2 linked regions of the Diceros bicornis minor genome follow. The protein of the gene in region 2 interacts with the protein of the main gene of each other region in a pairwise test. Links are inferred from orthologs where the notes say so. Each region holds a gene or a part of one and is shown on either strand. Other genes may lie near its edges. The genes, in order: DPH3 and SERGEF.

Region 1 (9,865 bases), on a different chromosome or scaffold from region 2:
ATTTCTGATTATTTATCCTGGTTTACATCAGCTACCACAAATCTGCCTCCCAGGTTACCCCTCATCTCCCGCAATCTGATGCCTGTAAGGATCAGCCTGTATTCTGTCCCTGTCACTCTCTCATTGCTGCCCAGCACCTGGAACCCTCCCACCGTGCCCTTTGGAATTTATGGTCTATCATCAGCACAATGCTCCATATTCTCAACCTCTTCTTTAAAATGTCCCTGTGCCTTCTTGCTCTAAATGCAGTGGTTCTCAAAAGGTGGTAGGAGAGGGGTGTTGATTTTGTCTTCAGGGGCCCTTTGGCAATGTCTGGAGATATTTTGGATTGACACAACTGAGGGGGTGCTACTGGCATCTAATGAGTAGAGGCCTGGGATGCTACTAAACACCCTCCAGTGCATAGGACAGCTCTGTACAACAAAGAGTTATTCAGCCCAAAAGGTCCATAATGCTGAGGTTGAGAAGAGGCCATCCCCTAAAGACACTGTTTCCTGCATAACCCGTCAAATGGTGGCTCCGTGTGCTCTCAGGGCCCCAGTACCACAGAGACTGGAGAAGTGGCTGGTTGCTCCTTTCTGCCATGGTTCTCTTTTCCCCTCTGAAAACCACCAACTTTGAATATAGTCATGAGACTATATCATCACCACTCCTCTCTGTTGCTGTCACCTACCCCCTTGGAGCCCTCATTTCAACCCCTCTGGGACCTCCACTGTATTTATTCTACCACCTTTTCACTGCCTCTCACTCCCTTAATGTTTTCTTTACCTAGTTAAACCCCATGGTCAATTATCATAATCGCTCTGCTCTCACTCCTTCCTACTCACTTGGCAAAACCACAATCCTGGTTAAATCTAACTTCCTGTCTCTACATTCACCCATATAGCTGAATGTCTACCACCTTAAACCCTCTTGATCCTCTCTCACCACCAGTTACTGCCCCATGTCTCTGCTCCCCTTTCCAGCAAACTCCTTGAAAGAAATGTCTACACTTGCTGTCTCCTATTCTTCTCTCATTCTCTCCAACAAGTTTTCCTTAATCAGGCTCTGTCTCTGTTACTCCATTGAAACTGCTCGTTTTTTTTTTTTTTTAATTTTTTTTTTGAGAAAGATCAGCTCTGAGCTAACATCCATGCTAATCCTCCTCTTTTTGCTGAGGAAGACTGGCTCTGAGCTAACATCCACTGCCAATCCTCCTCCTTCCCCCCCCCCTCAAAACCCCAGTAGATAGTTGTATGTCATAGTTGCACATCCTTCTAGTTGCTGTATGTGGGACACGGCCTCAGCATGGCCGGAGAAGTGGTGCGTCGGTGCGTGGCCGGATCCAAACCCCAGCCGCCAGCAGTGGAGCGCGCGCACTTAACCGCTAAGCCACGGGGCCGGCCCCTGAAACCGCTCTTATCACCATCACAAATGGCCTCTCCCTGTTGAAGCTAACGGTTAACTTTCAGTTGCCTTTCCATTAGTGGCATCCGACAAGGTTGATCACTTCCTCCATCTTTTCTCATCTGGCTTCTAGGATATGACACTGGTGGTTTTCCTTCTTCCTCAGAGGTTGCTCCCTTTCAGCCAGCTCTGCTGATTCTTTGCTTCCCTCCCTGACCTTTAAATGTTGGAGGGTCCCAACTCAGTCCTTTCTTTTGTCCATCTCTACCTTCATTCACAGCCCCAGTGATCTCATCCAATCTTACAGCTCTAAATGCTATCTATATGCTGATAACTCCCAAATTTACAGCGCTAGCTTATCTCTCTTTGAACTCCAGACTTCCATATCCAATTGCCTCCTCACTCACTCCACTTGGATGAAAAACAGGCCTCTCAAACTTAGTATGTCCAGCTCTGGCCCCTATACCTGCAGTCACCTCCCCATCAGTTGATGGTAAATCCATCCATCCAGTTACCAAGGCCACAAATGTTGAAATCATCCTTGACTCCTCTCATATTCTACATCCAATCAGTAAGAAAATCCTTATCCTTTCAAGTGTATCCAGAATCCAACCACTTCTCACTATTGCTGCAGCCTGGTCCAAACCACCCATCTCCCTCTTTGATTAGTCTAATAGCCTCCTAACTGGTTTTCCTGCTTCTATCCTTGCTCCCTCAGCCTACTCTGAACACAGCAGCCAGAATCACTCTTTTAAAACTTAAGTTGGATCATGGCACTCCTTTGTTCAGAAATCTTCCAGTGGTTCCCTATATCATTCACAGCAAAAGCCAGAGTCCTTACAGTGGCCCACAGACACCCTTGTGATCTGCCCCACTCCACTAATTTCACCTTGGACAACTCTCACCTTCATTCCTTCTGCTCTGGTCACAATGGCCTCCCTGTTGTTCCTTGATAAAAGCAGGCACGTTCCTGCCTCAGGGTCTCTTCACTGCAAGTTCCCTTTGCCACACTGCTCTTACCCCGCATATGTACAGGGTTCACTTCCTCACCTCTTTCAATCTTTGCTCAAAAAGGCCTTTCTCAATTGGGCCTGCCATGATCACCCTATTTAAAACTGCAATCTCTTCTCATACCAGCACTCCTCATCTCCCTTACCCTGTTCTTTTCCTGTTCCAGAACACATTTTAATCCAAGAATAAATCTTCTTTATTTTAGAAGTAAACTTCTAAATTATAGCAGGCTTCTCTCATGAGGCTAAGTGCCTCGTTCCCACCTTCCCTATACTCATTTTAGAGTTCATCCTTAAGAATGTTAAGCTCTGTTACGTGTCAACTATATCTCAAAAAAAAAAGAATGTTTAGCTTCTAACTGAAGACTCTATTCAAAGTACTGACTAAAAGTGTGTGGGGGGGGCATTAATAACATTTATTGTTTTCTATTCTCAGTATCCTTGGGTGAAAAACAATAGGACAACTAAAGACTAAAACAAAATTGTAAAATTGCAACTACGACTTATATCTCAAACAAGATAATGCAAAGTTCTATGCAGAAGCCAGGTAAGAAATACCATACAATTCCATTCTATATATAGAAATATATATATATTACACCTTATATAAATATAAGAAATACTACACAGTTCCCTTCAAAATAAATTTAGGAACTCTGAATAATTTTAATTACTTATTAAATAAAAGAGGAATAAAGACTGTCAATTAAATAACTTTTAAGATTATTTTTCTACTATTTAATAAGTAATCAATAATTTTCATTAAACAGAGCAGTTTTCTTTACTGACCTCTCCAAAGCTAAAATGAGTTAATTTGAACTTTTAAAATTTTAATTTACAATATAGCTGTTTATTAATAGTTTTTAAAATGTTTTAAAACACAGCATTTTCCTAACACTGTTAGGAAACATTCTTCCACACTTATATCACAGACAGACTTCTCTAGGTCCTTGCCTCAAAACTCTCCCCCCACCTTTTTAAAATTGGACCTCTTACTTTGTCATAAATCACTTTTATAATGAGAGAGCAGCTAGGACACGTTGCCACGTCTTCTCCATTCTCCAAATCTTCCTATAACGAAATCAAACACCATATGATCAGCATAGTGTTCCCACTGCAATCTCCTCCTCCCAAACCCTCCCACCACTATGGGCAAGCTCCTTTGTGGCTTGCCTCTCCATAAGGTACGTGAGCGCCAAAAGGGCCTTCTGAGAAAAATGCCAACCCCATTTTTCCCCGGAAACATCACGTGGGGGAAATACCCAGGAAGGTGAGTCAAAGTTCAGTGCCCTCAAAACCCCAGGGCAAACAAAAACGCGTCCCTTCCTCCAAAGAAGTATCCCAGGAAGTGGGACCCTAAGTAGGGGAGAATGGCGAGAAAACTGATGCTCCTCGCCATCCACCCCCACCCCTCCAGCCTGACTCCACCCCCCTGGCCTGACTAAAGCCCAGAACGATGTGCCCCCTGACAGCTCAGAGCGTCAATTTTGGGGGATTCAGAAACAGGATTAAAAGGGAATGGATAACTATAAGTCTCATGCGGGACGGAATGGCGGAAGGAAGACCGCAGCGAAAACGCGCCTGCTCCAAGGAGTCGCAGGGCGGGACCCCGAGATTACCTTGGTGATGCAGAAGTTATCCCCACAAGGGCAGGGGTAGAAATACGTCTCCGAGTCCTCGTCATATTGGAAGTCCTCGATCTCGACCTCGTCGTGAAACACCGCCATTATCACTGGGGCCCGCAGAGGTCTGTCACCTCGCCGTCCGACACGGTCCCGGCTCGGTCTAACTTCGCGGGCGCCAACCCCAGGCGGTCGTTGTCACCACGCACCGGCTCAGGAACGGTCACTTCCGGCGCATAGAAAATGACGCAACTCCGGCCTTGTAGGCCAAATGGGTGACCGGTAGCGGTCACCATGGAGATGCCTGAGCTAGGGGGCGGAGACACTGGAAGACGGCGCTCGCTGATTAGTGCTGTCGCTCACGGCTCCGCCCATCGGACGGCAGCGACCAATAAAATGTGGGGATGGCTCGCGCTGCTGCTACGTCATGTCGGGGACGCCGGAATCTCTCAGGCGGAGGTAGTGGAGTTTGGCTCGAGTCTGTGAGCTAGATCCCCGTGGCGGCGGCGTGGAGGTTTCTTACTGTGGCTGTCGTTGCCTTGTCTTACGCCCGCGGAGCTTAGAGAGGCCTTAAGCCGACCCAGCGGAAGGCCGCAGCAGGCCTAGGTAGCATCGACGCGGCCTCGGCGCCCCTGGGGAAAGCGGGGGGGGCTGCTTTGCTGAGTCTGAGGCAGCGGCGGGAGCAGCTCAGCCTCCTGGACCGCCCTGCCTGCCTCCCCGGTGACGGATGGAAGCTCCCTTGGAATTTTTATTCACCGAGTGACCTTGAGCTCAGGGCAACGCCTAGCTTGTAGTTCCTGGCCGCACTCGGCTATTCAGGTACATCCTCGCCTCTTCCTCACCCCGCAGTATCTTCAAATGCCCTAAATTGTGTTGCTCAAAGGACCTACACCTGGAAGGCAGAGATTGCGTTCTAGTCGTGTGTTTGCCAGGCGTATAACGTTATTAACTATAGTGATTAGTAGTAATAGCTTTTATTATTGGGAGTTTGCAGGGTACCAGGTATTGCGGTAAGTGTAATTCTCCCATCAGCCCTGGGAGTTCTCTATTCTTAATCTTCAAACTGAGACACAGAGAGTTGGGTATCTTGACCAAGATCACACACCTAGGAAAAGAAGGGCCTGTCTGTCCCCAAAGCCCAGGAACAAATTAGTTAATGTATGTGAACAGTTTCCTTTTTGCAAAAGGAAGAGGGTCAGCGAGCAGGGTTATTACGTGAGGCCTGTGTATACCTCGAAGTGAAATGCAAATTAAAGGTGGTTTGTATTGAAATTGGTGCTAGTGCCTGTTTTGGTACAGCTGGATTCCGTGGGGTATTGCTCCATGACTAGGCATTTATTCACCTCCTGGTGGAGAAGGCATGCAGTGCAATGAAAACGCTACAGTACTGAGAAGCAGAAGATCCGGGCTCAGAATCTGACTGTTGCCAACTGGCTCTGGGAGCTGGATGTTTACATTCTTTGGGCCTTATTTCCTTTTCTGACTAAAAAAGGGTTGGATTAGAGATGATTTACAAGATCTCTTCAGATCTAACATTCTACTTTTGCATCGATATGAGTTTTGGTTTCACAATCACGTATACTGTATTTTATATTTACATAATACGTATATATTACACACACTTATATACACATCCCTATGCTTATTTATGTAGACATACTCAAATGTTTGCATGAAGTTACCAATTTTGTGCACACCAAAATGAAGCTCCACCTACTTTAGCTCTTTTAAGGCTTGAAAACCTAAAGGCAGAGGAGTCTTGGGAAGAAAATTCAGAAGTTACATTGAAGGAGTTTGTAGAAGATTTTTTCAGAAGCTTCACAAACGCTCCATTTAGCACAATTGAAAATCTACCAAGCAGTTAGGAAACGTTTGTTAAACTCGTTGAGGGTTAACTGGGATGCTTCTGATCTGTCTGAGCAAAGGAGACATTCCAGCAAAGCCCACACAGCTCAGTGGCTGCTCCCTGTATCTCTGTAGACACAGAGACTTCCCAGGTAGCCTCTTGGAGGCGGGAGGACAGGAGAGAGTCCCCAGTGTCTATTCTGTAGTCCCAGTGATTGATTTGAGGTTGGGAACCATATTTAGTTCATCAGTGCTTCTGAGCATAAGTATCTGCAAATTAAAGATGAGCCATTTTCAAATGTTCAGAAATGGGTGCAGTCATATTTGGCTCATGGAAGTATAAATTGGTAGACCTTTTAGAAAGCAGTTTGGATCCATCAAAAACAATTTGCTGGGGAATCTTGAAATCTGAGGTTAACAGTCCTAAAAGTTACAGGGGTTGTTGAGTAGTTTTTGTTCATAATTTTTTTGTGATTTTCCAACTTCTCTTTGAGTATGTATTACTTAAAATGGAAAAAGAAAAACTAATGAGCCTCTTATTAATAATAATTGACATTATGTGCCAGGCATTGTACCAAATGCATTATGTCATTGAAACATGCATTATGTCATTAAAACAGCCTAGTGAGTATGGGTATCATTAATCCCATCTTCAGTACTGGGAAACCTGAGGTTTAGGGGCTAAAGAATTTGCCAAAGGAGGCAAAGCTTGAAAGTGGCAGTAAGCGATGGTGAGAGCTCACATCTGTCTGACCCCAGAACCTGGGCTCTTAATTAACTACGATGCCATTTGTGATGTGATGATGTTTGAAGCAGAGCTAGACTAAAACAGCCCTGGAGCTCAGCAGACTGCGGAGATTTTCTGCTAGAGCAGTGCTGGTTCCTTTGATGTCTAGATTTGGGGGTCTCCTTGGCCTTCCATACTGCTTTCATCCTGCTTTCTGTCAGCCATCCCCCTTGTCTGGCCAGAGGTAGTTCCCTGCGTGGTTCTAGCCAGTTTGAGATCGTACTGTGCGGAAGAAAGTAAAACCATAGCTACACCCGTGATGCGGGTTTTTTACTTCACTCATCACTTTTAAATAAAACTTTACAATGACTACTAAACTTTACGTTATTCCTGGGGAATGGAAACATTTTGTAATGAGACATTTTTGGACCCTCAGAGCATGACAAAAGCATATTTACTAGTTGCTATAGTGTCATTTGAAATCACATATTTATGGTTTGCTTTTTTTCATAATGTCTTTTATCATAAAATGTTAACAGTGCTGATCTGGAAAATACCAGTGACCAAAATTCTTAGCATAAGATCAAATTTAGAACCAGGTCATAATTGTGTAATAGAAACTGTATTTAATGAGTGCTGTTGTATATCAGGCCAAGGGGAGTCGTTTATTGGCAATATCAAACCACCACTTCTTGTTTGGCAGGGAGGAGAGAGGTGGTTAATGTATTTGGGATGATTTTTAGTAAGATTCTTGCTTGCCAGGTTCTTCCATGGACATTTATTCTTCTCAGCAATCCAGTGAGGTGGGGCTGGCATTCCCATTTAAAAATGGTAAGAGGTGACTGGCCCAAGATCAAAAACCAGGGAGGAGTCAGATCTGAGCCCAGTTCCACTGCTTCCAGGTCAAGCACTATAATAACTTGTATACCACTAGGGTTCCTGACCAAATGCCAAATGCCAGGAATCCCTCTGCTTCCCCTGTGGCACCTAGGATTTTAAATCAACAGGTGCTGTGATAGTTCTGTGAATTTACTTAGTTTCAGTGCATTACTGCTCTTTGAGGCATTCTTGATTTTTCTCATTCTCTCACCTCATCCAGTCTATCAACAAGTCGTAGGTTCTAATTCCGAAATATATTCTGTGTTCATCTGCTTCTGTCATCTCTGTAGCTTTATCCTACTCTGATCTTAGACTGCAGCCTTCTCACTGGACTTCCTGCTTCGACTCTTGACCCTCTAGGATCCATGGCATGGCAGCCTGAGTGATTGTTTAATGTAAATTAGATCATGTCCCTCTCCTGGTTTATTCAAACCCTTCAGTTGCTTCCCATTACCCTTAGAGTAAAGTACATGCCCTTTAGAGTAAAGTACATACACAGCATGGCCTGATGTGATCTGGCACGTGTCTACCTGCTTTACTTCATCTCATGTCACTCTCACCTAGCTCACTGCTCTCCAGTGGCACTGGCCAAGCGAGATTCATCTGACACGCCAGGCTTGTTTCTGTGATTGGGCCTCTGCCCGAATGCTCTGCCCCTTACGGCTGCTTGGCTGCCTCTTCCTCATCATTCAAGTCTCTGCTTAGGTGTTTTTTGAGAGAGACCTTTCCTGATACTCCCCCACCCACCCAATCACTCTATTTCCTGTATCACACTCATTGTAATCTGTAATTGTCTTGTTAATTATGTTTACTATTATCTGTCACATTCGCTGTAATAAAAGCTTCATGATGGCAAGGGCCTTGTGTTTAGTTCTTTATTGTGTCTTCACCGCCTAAAATAGTGCCTGGCACCCCAGTAATTGTTAAATAAATTGATTACTTACTGAACAGAAACCAGTATAGCTCATTTTAAATCTTTAATCTGTTGCTTGCAGTAGTCTTTTTTTTTTTATTGATGTTTTAATGGTTTCTAACATTGTGAAATTTTGGGTTGTACATTTTTGTTTGTCCATCACCACATATATGACTCCCTTCACCCCTTGTGCCCACCCCCCACCCCCACTGCCCTGGTAACCACAGTCCAGTTTTCTCTGTCCATGTGTTGGTTTATATTCCACATATGAGTGAGATCATACAGTGTTTGTCTTTCTCTTTCAGGCTTATTTCACTTAACATAATACGCTCCAGGCCCATCCATGTTGTTGCAAATGGGACGATTTTGTCTTTTTTTATGGCTGAGTAGTATTCCATTGTATATATATACCACATTTTCTTAATCCAGTCGTCAGTCGAGGGACACTTAGGTTGCTTCCACTTCTTGGCTATGGTGAATAATGCTGCAATGAACATAGGAGTGCATAAGCCTCTTTGGATTGTTGATTTCAGGTGCGTTGGATAGATTCCCAGTAGTGGGATGGCTGGATCATAGGGCATCTCTATTTTTAATTCTTTGAGGAATCTCCATACCGTTTTCCATAGAGGCTGCACCAATTTGCATTCCCACCAGCTGTGTATGAGGGTTCCTGTTTCTCCACATCCTCTCCAACATTTGTTGTTTTTTGTCTTGGTGATTATAGCCATTCTAACAGGCGTGAGGTGGTATCTTAGTGTTGTTTTGATTTGCATTTCCCTGATGATTAGTGATGTTGAGCATCTTTTCATGTGCCTATTGGCCATCTGTATATCTTCCTTGGAGAAGTGTCTGTTCATTTCCTCTGCCCATTTTTTGATCGGGTTGTTTGTTTTTTTGTTGTTCAATTGTGTGAGTTCTTTATATATTATGGAGATCAACCCCTTGTCAGATGTATGTTTTGCAAATATTCTCTCCCAGCTGGTTGGTTGTCTGTTCATCTTGATTCTGGTTTCATTTGTCTTATAAAAGCTCTTTAATCTGATAAAGTCCCACTTGTTTATTTTTTCTTTAGTTTCCCTAGTCTGGGTAGGCATGTCATCCGAAAAGATTCCTTTAAAACCAATGTCAAATAGTGTGTTGCCTATATTTTCTTCTATGAGTTTTATAGTTTCAGGTCTCACCTTCAGGTCTTTGATCCATTTTGAGTTAATTTTTGTGAATGGCGATAGCACATGGTCCACTTTCATTCTTTTGCATGTGGCTGTCCAGTTTTCCCAACACCATTTATTGAAGAGACTTTCCTTTCTCCATTGCATGTTCTTAGCACCTTTGTCGAAAATTAGCTGTCCGTATATGTGTGGTTTTATTTCTGGGCTTTCAATTCTGTTCCATTGATCTGTGTGTCTGTTTTTGTACCAGTACCATGCTGTTTTGATTACTATTGCTTTGTAGTATGTTTTGAAGTCAGGAATTGTGATGCCTC
Region 2 (9,197 bases):
GCACACTGAAATAAATGTTAAGGCACAACCATTATAATTCACAACTTCAGAATAATGGAAATATTTAATGATTGATTTCAGTTCTTTCTTCTAACCTCTGGATTTGTGATATTTGATAAATCAGGAATCCTGAGAGTCTTAGAATTTTCATGCATTTTAAATATATATCTACAAAGCATCTAAGAATATGTTAATAGTTATTCAAATATGAGAACATAATTGAACCAAAAGTTTGGTTCATAATTCTTAATCAGTGAGTTATTACTCGAAGACATAGATGATGTTTTCCTGACTTTCTGAAGAAAGCTCCAAAAGTTGGTTGTCAGAATGCCTACATTTCTTAATCTGCCTATTTTGTCATTTGGAGTTATACAGTATAATGACACACCAAAATGTACAGAATTATAGTTAATTTTTAAGTTGGCTTCCAAACTGAAAAAAGAAAAAATTCTGGAATACTCTAAAGGAACATAAAATAGAGTTCATATATTAATTTCTAGGAAATGTATAAAGATACTGTGGTCTATTTCAGTCTAGTCTTTATTTTTACTATGTACTATGATTTGCAAGTTTGTTATTCAACTGGATAATAAATTAACACAAAATTCGTGTTCTCAGCAAGCATTTATTTTTTGTCAAACATATGTTAAAACTGATTTAAATATATGTTAGCAATTTTTGTAGTTTAAGAAATCTATAACATCAATTCTTAAAAAGCCTATGAATATGAGATATAAGGGAAGCCAAATCTGGAAACTAGAGTAACTACTTTTCAGAATTCTGGATAAAGTCTCAACTCATGTTCCTCATCTGGAAAATGAGCTAAATCTACTTCCCTGGGTTATTGGAGGAATTCTGTTATGAGAGGACTTTGTAAAAGAAACTTATTATCATATGTAAAGAATCTTTAATGTAATCACTCTCCTAATCAGAGACCCCCATAGCTTCTGGATGATTTTATCTTCCTCCAGAGGGAATTCACGTTTGCTTCTAGCAGGTAGTATATAATGGCATGGGAAGATCTCCTTAGTCCAATCAGGGATTAAGCCAATTTGAGCTGAGCTTCAGTCTTTGTGAGGGCTGGTCTGTTTCCAGGTCACCTCTACTTTTAGGGTGCAGCCCTTTGGGGATCCTAAAGGAAAGCTATGGGTGTGGACAAGGGCTTCTCCATGGGGACCCTGGGCTCCGACATTTGTCCCCTCCTTCACTCTCATCCCCCTGCCCCCATAAAATTGCTAAAAGTAATTCAATTTCTCAGCTTCTCAGTTGCAGCTTTCAGCCCAGTTTCTTAGTCTCCAAGTCACTGCTTGCTAACTAGCAAGTGCTTCAAGCAGAAGAGTAATGCCAAATATAATTGCTCAGCCTCCAGATCTTGGCCCTTCAAGTTCTGGCTGCTTTGATAGCCCTCCAGTGACTTGAAACAGATTTTAAAAATGTTTCCCCAATTTTGCTAGTTGTTTTGGTGAGAGAATTAGTCTGCAGCTAGCTAATCTGCCTTTATCCAAAGCAGAAATCTGACCTTAGGGTAAATCATTTAACTTCTTTGAGCCTCAGTTTTCTCATCTATGAAATAATGGTCCTAACAATACTTAATCATACCAGTAATAGTGAGAAGATCAAATAAGATAAACTAATGGGAAAAAATTTCCTAACCTGTATGGTACAGAGATCTAGTCTGTATGGCCCCAAATACTTTACATTTTCTTCTTATGGGGAGACAAGGCATCTGAAAGTGACACCACCAAAGAGTTTAAATCTAGCCATTCAAGAACTGTAGCTCAGGGGCCGGTCCCATGGCTTAGCGGTTAAGTGTGTGCGCTTCGCTACTGGCAGCCTGGGTTCAGATCCTGGGCGCACACCGAGGCACCGCTTCTCCGGCCATGCTGAGGCCGCGTCCCACATACAGCAACTAGGAGGATGTGCAGCTATGACATACAACTATCTACTGGGGCTTTGGGGGAAAAAAAAAAAAAGGAGGAGGATTGGCAATAGATGTTAGCTCAGAGCCGGTCTTCCTCAGCAAAAAGAGGAGGATTAGCACGGATGTTAGCTCAGGGCTGATCTTCCTCACAAAAAAAAAAAAAAAAAAGAACTGTAGCTCAAGGAAGAGCTAGTCAGTGGCGTCTACATAGTTGAAATAGTTGAAACATCTCAACACTTCCAAGAAATTGTATTAAGGATATAACTGTAAGTTAGCTGAAGTATTGATGCATGTACATTCAAGGCGTGAAATCAGGAAACAACTGTATTCTCCCAGACCCTCTCTCTGTTAAAACTGAATCTGGGTACTTCCTCCTTGCCCCTTTGGTTGATATCTCAGGTCCCTGCTGTTAAGTTTCTGCTCACTCTCAGTCTTTAGCTTCTAATCTCTCTCTCTCTCTTTCTCACACAAACACACACACACAGACACACACAGACACACATACTCTCATTTGAGTATTTTAAAAGTCCAGTCTTGTGTAAAAGTTCAAAACATCAAACTTTATGAAAGGTTAAAGTTTTTCTTCTCTGGAATTGAGAAAGGAAGGTGTGTGCTTAGTTTCTTATTTTCTTGCTCCTGCTTCTTCACTCTCTGGGATGCCTCTGGCTCCTCCAGGGTTTGGGAATGGTGATGGGGAGGACAGGTAAGGAGTAGAAAGTTCTTTTTGGTCTGATAATGTGAGTTGGCATATGTGCTTTCTGTACTTGGTAAGTATTTAAAGCTGACTCTCATTCTCTGTGGCTGTTTTGGGAGACCTTCCCACTTCTTATTTCTCGGGCTCTCTTGATGTGGGTAAATGTATCTCTTTGGGCTGTTGAATTCATCTCACTCAGCCTCTAGGAATCTAGTGGTCAACTCTCTTGTGGGTGTCACTTCACCCCTCCAGAAATTCCCTTGGACAGGGTCTGAGACCACCCCTTGGCCAATTTGCTCATGCATGGGAAACACTCACATGGGAGATACTCAGACATTCTTTGTCTTGAGAAACTCTGAGCATGAAAGATCTCTCCAAAGTGTCAATCTCTCTTTGCTCAATTATCAAAGCAGTTATCTGGCCACAAGCCATTGGACTTCTCAGCACCAACTGGACAGCAGCCTGCCCAGGCCCCAATCTGGAGGGACATATCACAGTCTCTTAGTGGCCCTCTGAAGCACACCTTTCCTTAGACATGAGGAGAGCAGGACTCACAGCACATTGACATCCATTGCCACATATCCACTCAGAATTCTCTCTCAGCCTCTCCAACATCTTTCATAGACTGGAAGTCATACACTGGTTTTTAGATACCTCCTCCACAAGTCCTGCTTTGGTGGTCTTGTATCTCACTTAATAATGTGGGAGTAATTGGCACTTACTGCCTTGGAGTCTCAGCCAAAACTGAGACGGGAAGGGTCCCATTTTTACATCCTATTACACATGCTTTAAAGGAATGGTCATATAACATAAGGAACACTCATATGAACCAATCAGCAAACATGGTATCGTTTTTGCACATCAAGGTCTCCGGAGGATGAAGAGCTGCTTTGCCTCTCTAAAGTTTGCATTTTTCTTAGCATGGTCATTGATGTTCTCAAGATGCCACAGGCAAGAGGTAAAGATGAGGTGCTGCCCTTAAGGGGTCTTACAGGTGGAAACACCAAGGAGTGGGTGGAGTGAAAAAACAGGAAAGAACTGTAAGTGCTCACTGGAAACATTTTCCAGAGCTCCCAGGCATAAAGGGTGATGAGTACTGGAGACTTGTGTCAGCAGAGGGGTCCAGTACTAGTGAATATGGATTATCATCTTTAATGTGACACCATTTGTACCCACAAGATAATGTGTGGCTTGGGAAATGTGAGTTATGTACAAAAAAGGACAAAAAAGAAAATAAAAATCACTTGTAATCCACCACCCCGAGTATGTGTGTGTGTGTGTGTATGGAAAATTGGTATAATACTTATTTTAACAACATATCATGAACACTTTCCCCTTATTTAATATCTTCCAAAACATATCTTTTAATGGCAGCCTAGTATTCCATTGCATGGCTATGCCATAATTTAATCAATTTATTTTTGGACTTTCAGGTAATAAGTTCTTTCCTATTATATGGAATCCCATAAGGATAACTTGCAGTCTAAGTCTTTGTGCACAGCTCTGATTATTTTCTTGTGAAAAATTAACAAAAGTGGAATTACGAGTTAAATATCTATTTATCTTCATCTTCCTAACATGCACTGCCACGTTGTCCTTCACGAAAATTGTACTTAGCTCCCACCAGCAGCCTATGAGGGTGTCTGATAAAAACCATTTTATACGAAAATCTTTGTTGGATGAAAATTATCCAGTATTAATGATCAGTCAGGGCAGGGGCGTGCTCAGAGCGCTGAGGGTTAGAAGGCCGCCCCAAGATGAATCCACGAGAACCAGCCTCCTCAGGTCAGTGCTCCTGGGTGCAAATTCCCGCTCCGTGCCAGGCGCTGAAGGCGACACCGCCACAGTGTAGTACGACACTACACGCGCCTACCCACAAGCTCCCTCGGAGTTTGCAAACCCACAGCAAAGCAGGCCCAAAGACAGTTCGGCCTAAGACAGCGGGGCAGGACTCTTTCCACTCCCTCTCGGGCTCAATTTCTTCCCCGTCAAATACAATCCCTGTCCTGTCAGCCTCTCTGGGCTGTCCTGGGACTCCAAGGAGACAAAAACGTGAGGGAGCGTAGTGCCTTCGCACAGAATCATTACTAAAAATAAAGAGTGCGAGGGGTGGGAGAGAGAGGCAGACCCGCCCTTTGAGACAGGAGGCCCCAGACGGAGACTCTCAGAGCCGCCCGAGCTGCGCGACTGGAGGCGGCTCCAGAGGCGGCCGGGGAGGCGGCTGCGGCGCTCCCGCCCGCCGTAGACCCCTCCCCCGGCGGGCCCCTCCCCCGGCGGGCCCCTCCCCCGGCGGGCCCCTCCCCCGTGCCAGTCCTATACCCCCAGTCACCAATCCCTCCCCTGACGGGCCCCGCCCCCGTACCGCCCCTCCCAACCACAGACTCCTTCCCGCGCCGACCCCACCGCCCAGTCTCCAATTCCTCCCCCGGCGGGCCCCTCCCCCGAGGGCCCCCTCCCCCGGCGGCCCCTCCCCTGGCGGCCTCCCTCCCCCCGGGGCCCCCTCGCCCACCACAGACCCCCCTCTCCCGACGGGCCCTTCCCTCCTCCCCACAGATCCCTCCCCCGCGGCGGGCCCCTCCCAACCACAGACTCCTTCCCGCGGCGGCCCCACCACCCAGTGTCCAATCCCTCCCCCGGCCGCCCCTTCCCCGCCCCAGCCCCTCCCGGAAGCGCCGGCGGAGCGTCCCCGCATGGCGCGCGAGCAGAGCGCCTCGGAGGCCGGCCCTGCGGCGGCCGCGCTCTTCGCCTGGGTACGTGACTCCGCCCCCGGCCGCGGCCGCTGGGACTGGGGGCGCGCGGGCGCTGGGAGCTCCCGGCCTCGGCGGGGGCGGGCTGTGGCTCCGCGGCCAAGGCCGGAGTCTGCCTTTGGGTTGGAGGATCCTGGGCTGGACGCTGAGGAGGAGAGGGCGGGGAGGGAAGGGTCTTCGCGGGGTGACTTAGGGGCCTGTTGGCTGGAGGGGTCCTGACCGGAGGGGCTGCGGCGCCGTGGGAAGAACCTGCCTCCGGGCCGAGCGTCCGGTTCCGCGGGAGCCCTCAGGCCCGGATGGCGCCGGGAAGACAGCGTGGAGGCTCCGTAGGGAGAGGACTGCCCCGCCCCGGAGCCCTGTGGGGCCACCTGTGCTCCCCACACTCCCGTTGCTCGGAGGATGCGGGCCCTTGCCCAGCCCCACCCCTGCCTGCGGCGTTTGGCCGTGCACGAGGCGGGGACACTGCATATTTGCTGATATTCCGCTGTGACTGCATCTTGCCTGTACTGGGGGCGTGGGGGTCTTGCTCTGGTTTTGGTTTGACGGGAGCACCGAGAGACAGGGTCATCTTTATGTGTCGTGGGTGGGTCTTTGCCCAGGAGTGTGTGGCAGGCATCCGACCAGATGCTCAAGAACAAGCAGACGGAGTGTCTTGTAGTTCTTAATAGCACGGATCACAACTGTAATGAAATATGTAATTTGTGAAAGTCAGTCTCCTTGGCTGGAACGTAAGCGTCATAAGGGTGGGTACTGTGTCTATTTTGTTCGGGGTGTCTGGCACATTGTAGGGTGCTCAGTAAATACTTGTTGACGAATGAATGAATACCTGTGTGTGCCGAGCTATGTACTGGTCCTCTGGGAAAAACACACGAGTCAAAGACTTCCAGCTCTTGTGTTGGGAGGGGGGGATGACATCTATATTGCAGTTAAAACCAGTATGTATTGGTTAATTTTAAAAAGGTGATATCAGTACCAGACAGAACTTGTTGAATGTCAGGCTGCAGACTGGCGGAAGGGAGAGCGTGGTGTGGCCTGAGGTAGCCTGGCTGTCTGAGCATCCTTGGGGTGGCGCTTCAGCTGGGGGTGGAGTTGGGGATTGAATGTGTGCCTGGGGTGGGTGCTGGCTCTGGCTTTTTCCCCAGGGGACTGGGGTCTGTGTGTCAGATATGGCCTTGCCCCTGTGAAACAAAGGTGTGGTTGAACCTAACCCCAGTGCTGAGTTTGGAGGCCTGCTGGTGTGTTCTTCCTGCTGCATAATCTGCTTTTGCTAGGGCTGCCATAACAAAATACCACAGACTGAGAGGCATAAACAATGGAAATTTATTTTCTCACAGTTCTGGAGGCCAGAAGTCCAAGATCTAGGTGTTAGCAGGTTTAATTTCTTCTGAGGCATCTTTCTTTGGCTCACAGATAGCTGCCTTCTCTCTGTGTCCTCATGTGGCTTCTTCTCTGTGCGAGAGCATCTGGTGTCTCTTCTTAAAATGGTACCAGTCATACGGGATTAGGGACCCACCTGTATGGTCTCAGTTAACCATAATTACCTTTTTAAAGGCCCCATGTCCAAATATAGTCACATTCTGAGGTCCTGGAGGTTAGAGCTTCAACAAATTAATTTTAGGGGAACACGATTCAGTCCATAACAAGGGGATTTACCTCCTTGAAGGTGTGTGTGTGGGGGTGTCTGGAATGTTTGTAAGGAAGAGAGGCAAATAGAACTGTAATATGTTGTATTAAATTTTCCTTCATTTTGCTTTATCCTGGATTTAGGGCCTCTTGCTGCATTACAAAAATTGAGTGCCGTAATTTGAATCCCAGAGTGCCTGTGTCTCCCTCCCTTACTTTCTGTTCGGCAGCCTGCAATCCTGGTAATGGGGCAGCCACAGAGGTCTCAGGGCTGGTGGAGAAATCCTGTGCACATACACTCCACTTCACACTGCAAGACTTGCATTGATCTTTCCTAGGTAGGGACTCGCAGGGCCTTAGAGTCATTCGCTATAAAATATATGCACACCTTCTCTGGGCCAGCAGAGTTTCAGATGCAGGGGGCATAGCAGTGAGCAAAACGAAGTTCCTCCCCTCATGGAGTGTAGGGGGTGGACAGTAAACAAGTAAACAAATATATAGTGTAATGTCAGGGAGTGCCATGAAGAAAAATAGGGCAGAAAAAGGGGATAAAGTGATGGGGGTATTATTTTAGGTAGGGTTGTACAGTTAGCCTCCTGCCAGGTAAGCCTCGGCTGTTTCACTATATATCCTGTTTTTTCTTTTTTCTTAGAGTATGGTACAATGAAAGGAACAGGGCATCCAGCTTGTTGCCTGCCTAGCTGTGTGACTGTAGAAAGTTACTTCATCTCTCTGAGCCTTGGTTTCTTCACCCGTAAAGTGAGAGTGATAATGCCCATCTCCCTGGTTGTTGTGAGGATTAAAGGTGAATGCCCAGCCCATGGAGAAGCACTCAGTAATTGGTAGCTAATATGGCTTCTGAGGGCCTCTGGGGCCTGTGCCCCTGCCCTGGTTTGCTCTTCTCTGGGAGTCCTTGCAGCCCAGAAAGGCTGTGGAATAGACCACAAGGGCTAGGAGTTTGCATGTGTGTATTTTTTGTAGTTGTTTTAAATCACTTTTTCTCATTCAGGTGTCTTCAAAAATGAACACATTTTAAAGGTTTTACTACTCACCTCTAGGAAGAACCAGCCAGGAGTAGATACTTAGAGAAATTGTAAGGATTCCTGAAATCTTAATAAGATTCTCCCTGCAGGTCTACAACTCTTTGTCTCCAATTTTGAAAACAAAAAGCTCTGAAAACCCCACACTGACCTGACATAAGGGTCTTTATAGTCTTTGCCCACTTACTGTAAGTATTTGTAGCTTTTACTGCAGAATAATACTGTTTTGCTTATGAGTGCTACTCCTGGACCTTGCAGTAGTGTGTATGATTTATGTATGGTATTGCTGTTCTTGAGTCTATAAAATTCTGAATCTGAAATACATCTGGCTGCGAGGGTTTTGGATTAGGGATTCTGGACCTTTATTATATAATAACAATGATAGACATATTGCCCACCAAGGGGAAATCTGTTCCCTTATAGGAATCTCATCATGTGAATCTTAGAGTCACAAAACATTGTACTTGGAAAGGCGCTTAGAGATCCTTGCCAACCTCTTTGTACAAATGGAATAACAATGATGTGCCTTGCTTGATGGCACTAAATCCTTAGCTACCTTTGGTTAGAGAAAGTCATTGCAGTTTTTCCAGTCAGCATGTGGGAAGAAGGGACAAGATCTGGTCCCAGGGCATTTCCCACTCACTTTGTTCATATTTGCCCTCCTTATTTCTTTCCTTAGTCTCCCTAGATAATTAGCTTTTATCAGAAGGAACTCCCATGCTGTCCCTCAAAGGGAATGCATGGGGGCTGGGCATTGGAAGGGAAGGCGAGGAGTATCATTGGATTAGTTGTGGATGCTAAGGGCTCCTCTCACATGGAAATGGTGGTGGTGTGGGGATGGGACCCACCTGCTAAGTGTGGGTTGCTTATGACAACCTCTTGAGAATAAGCCTGTGAAATCTCCTCTGTTATAGGCTCTGAGAGGTGTGAAGGTGAGCAAGATAGGGACAGGTAAGTACACATTGACAGTTGGGGTTCCCATACTTTTTTACCCTTGGCTTATTTTACCCCTAGGGTGCGAACAGCTATGGGCAACTTGGCCTTGGCCATAAGGAAGATGTGCTTCTGCCCCAGCAGCTGAATGACTTCTGTAAACCGAGGTGTGTCAGGAGGATCACAGGAGGAGGGGGCCACTCTGCTGTAGTCACAGGTAACTTCCTTCTCGAGTAGAG

What was found.
Region 1: the proteins of SERGEF (region 2) and DPH3 interact in binary tests that used the Homo sapiens proteins (3 or more experiments, as listed by UniProt). The link is inferred for Diceros bicornis minor from reciprocal best matches to the Homo sapiens genes SERGEF and DPH3.

The regions. Positions count from the first base shown.
Region 1 is NC_080741.1:22,591,958-22,601,822, forward strand, and holds the start of DPH3 (diphthamide biosynthesis protein 3), read right to left. Parts: upstream 4,266-9,865; 5' UTR 4,124-4,265; coding exon 4,016-4,123; intron 3,468-4,015; coding exon 3,393-3,467; intron 1-3,392.
Region 2 is NC_080746.1:75,712,643-75,721,839, reverse strand, and holds the start of SERGEF (secretion-regulating guanine nucleotide exchange factor), read left to right. Parts: upstream 1-5,267; 5' UTR 5,268-5,305; coding exon 5,306-5,365; intron 5,366-9,039; coding exon 9,040-9,175; intron 9,176-9,197. UniProt on the Homo sapiens protein: Probable guanine nucleotide exchange factor (GEF), which may be involved in the secretion process.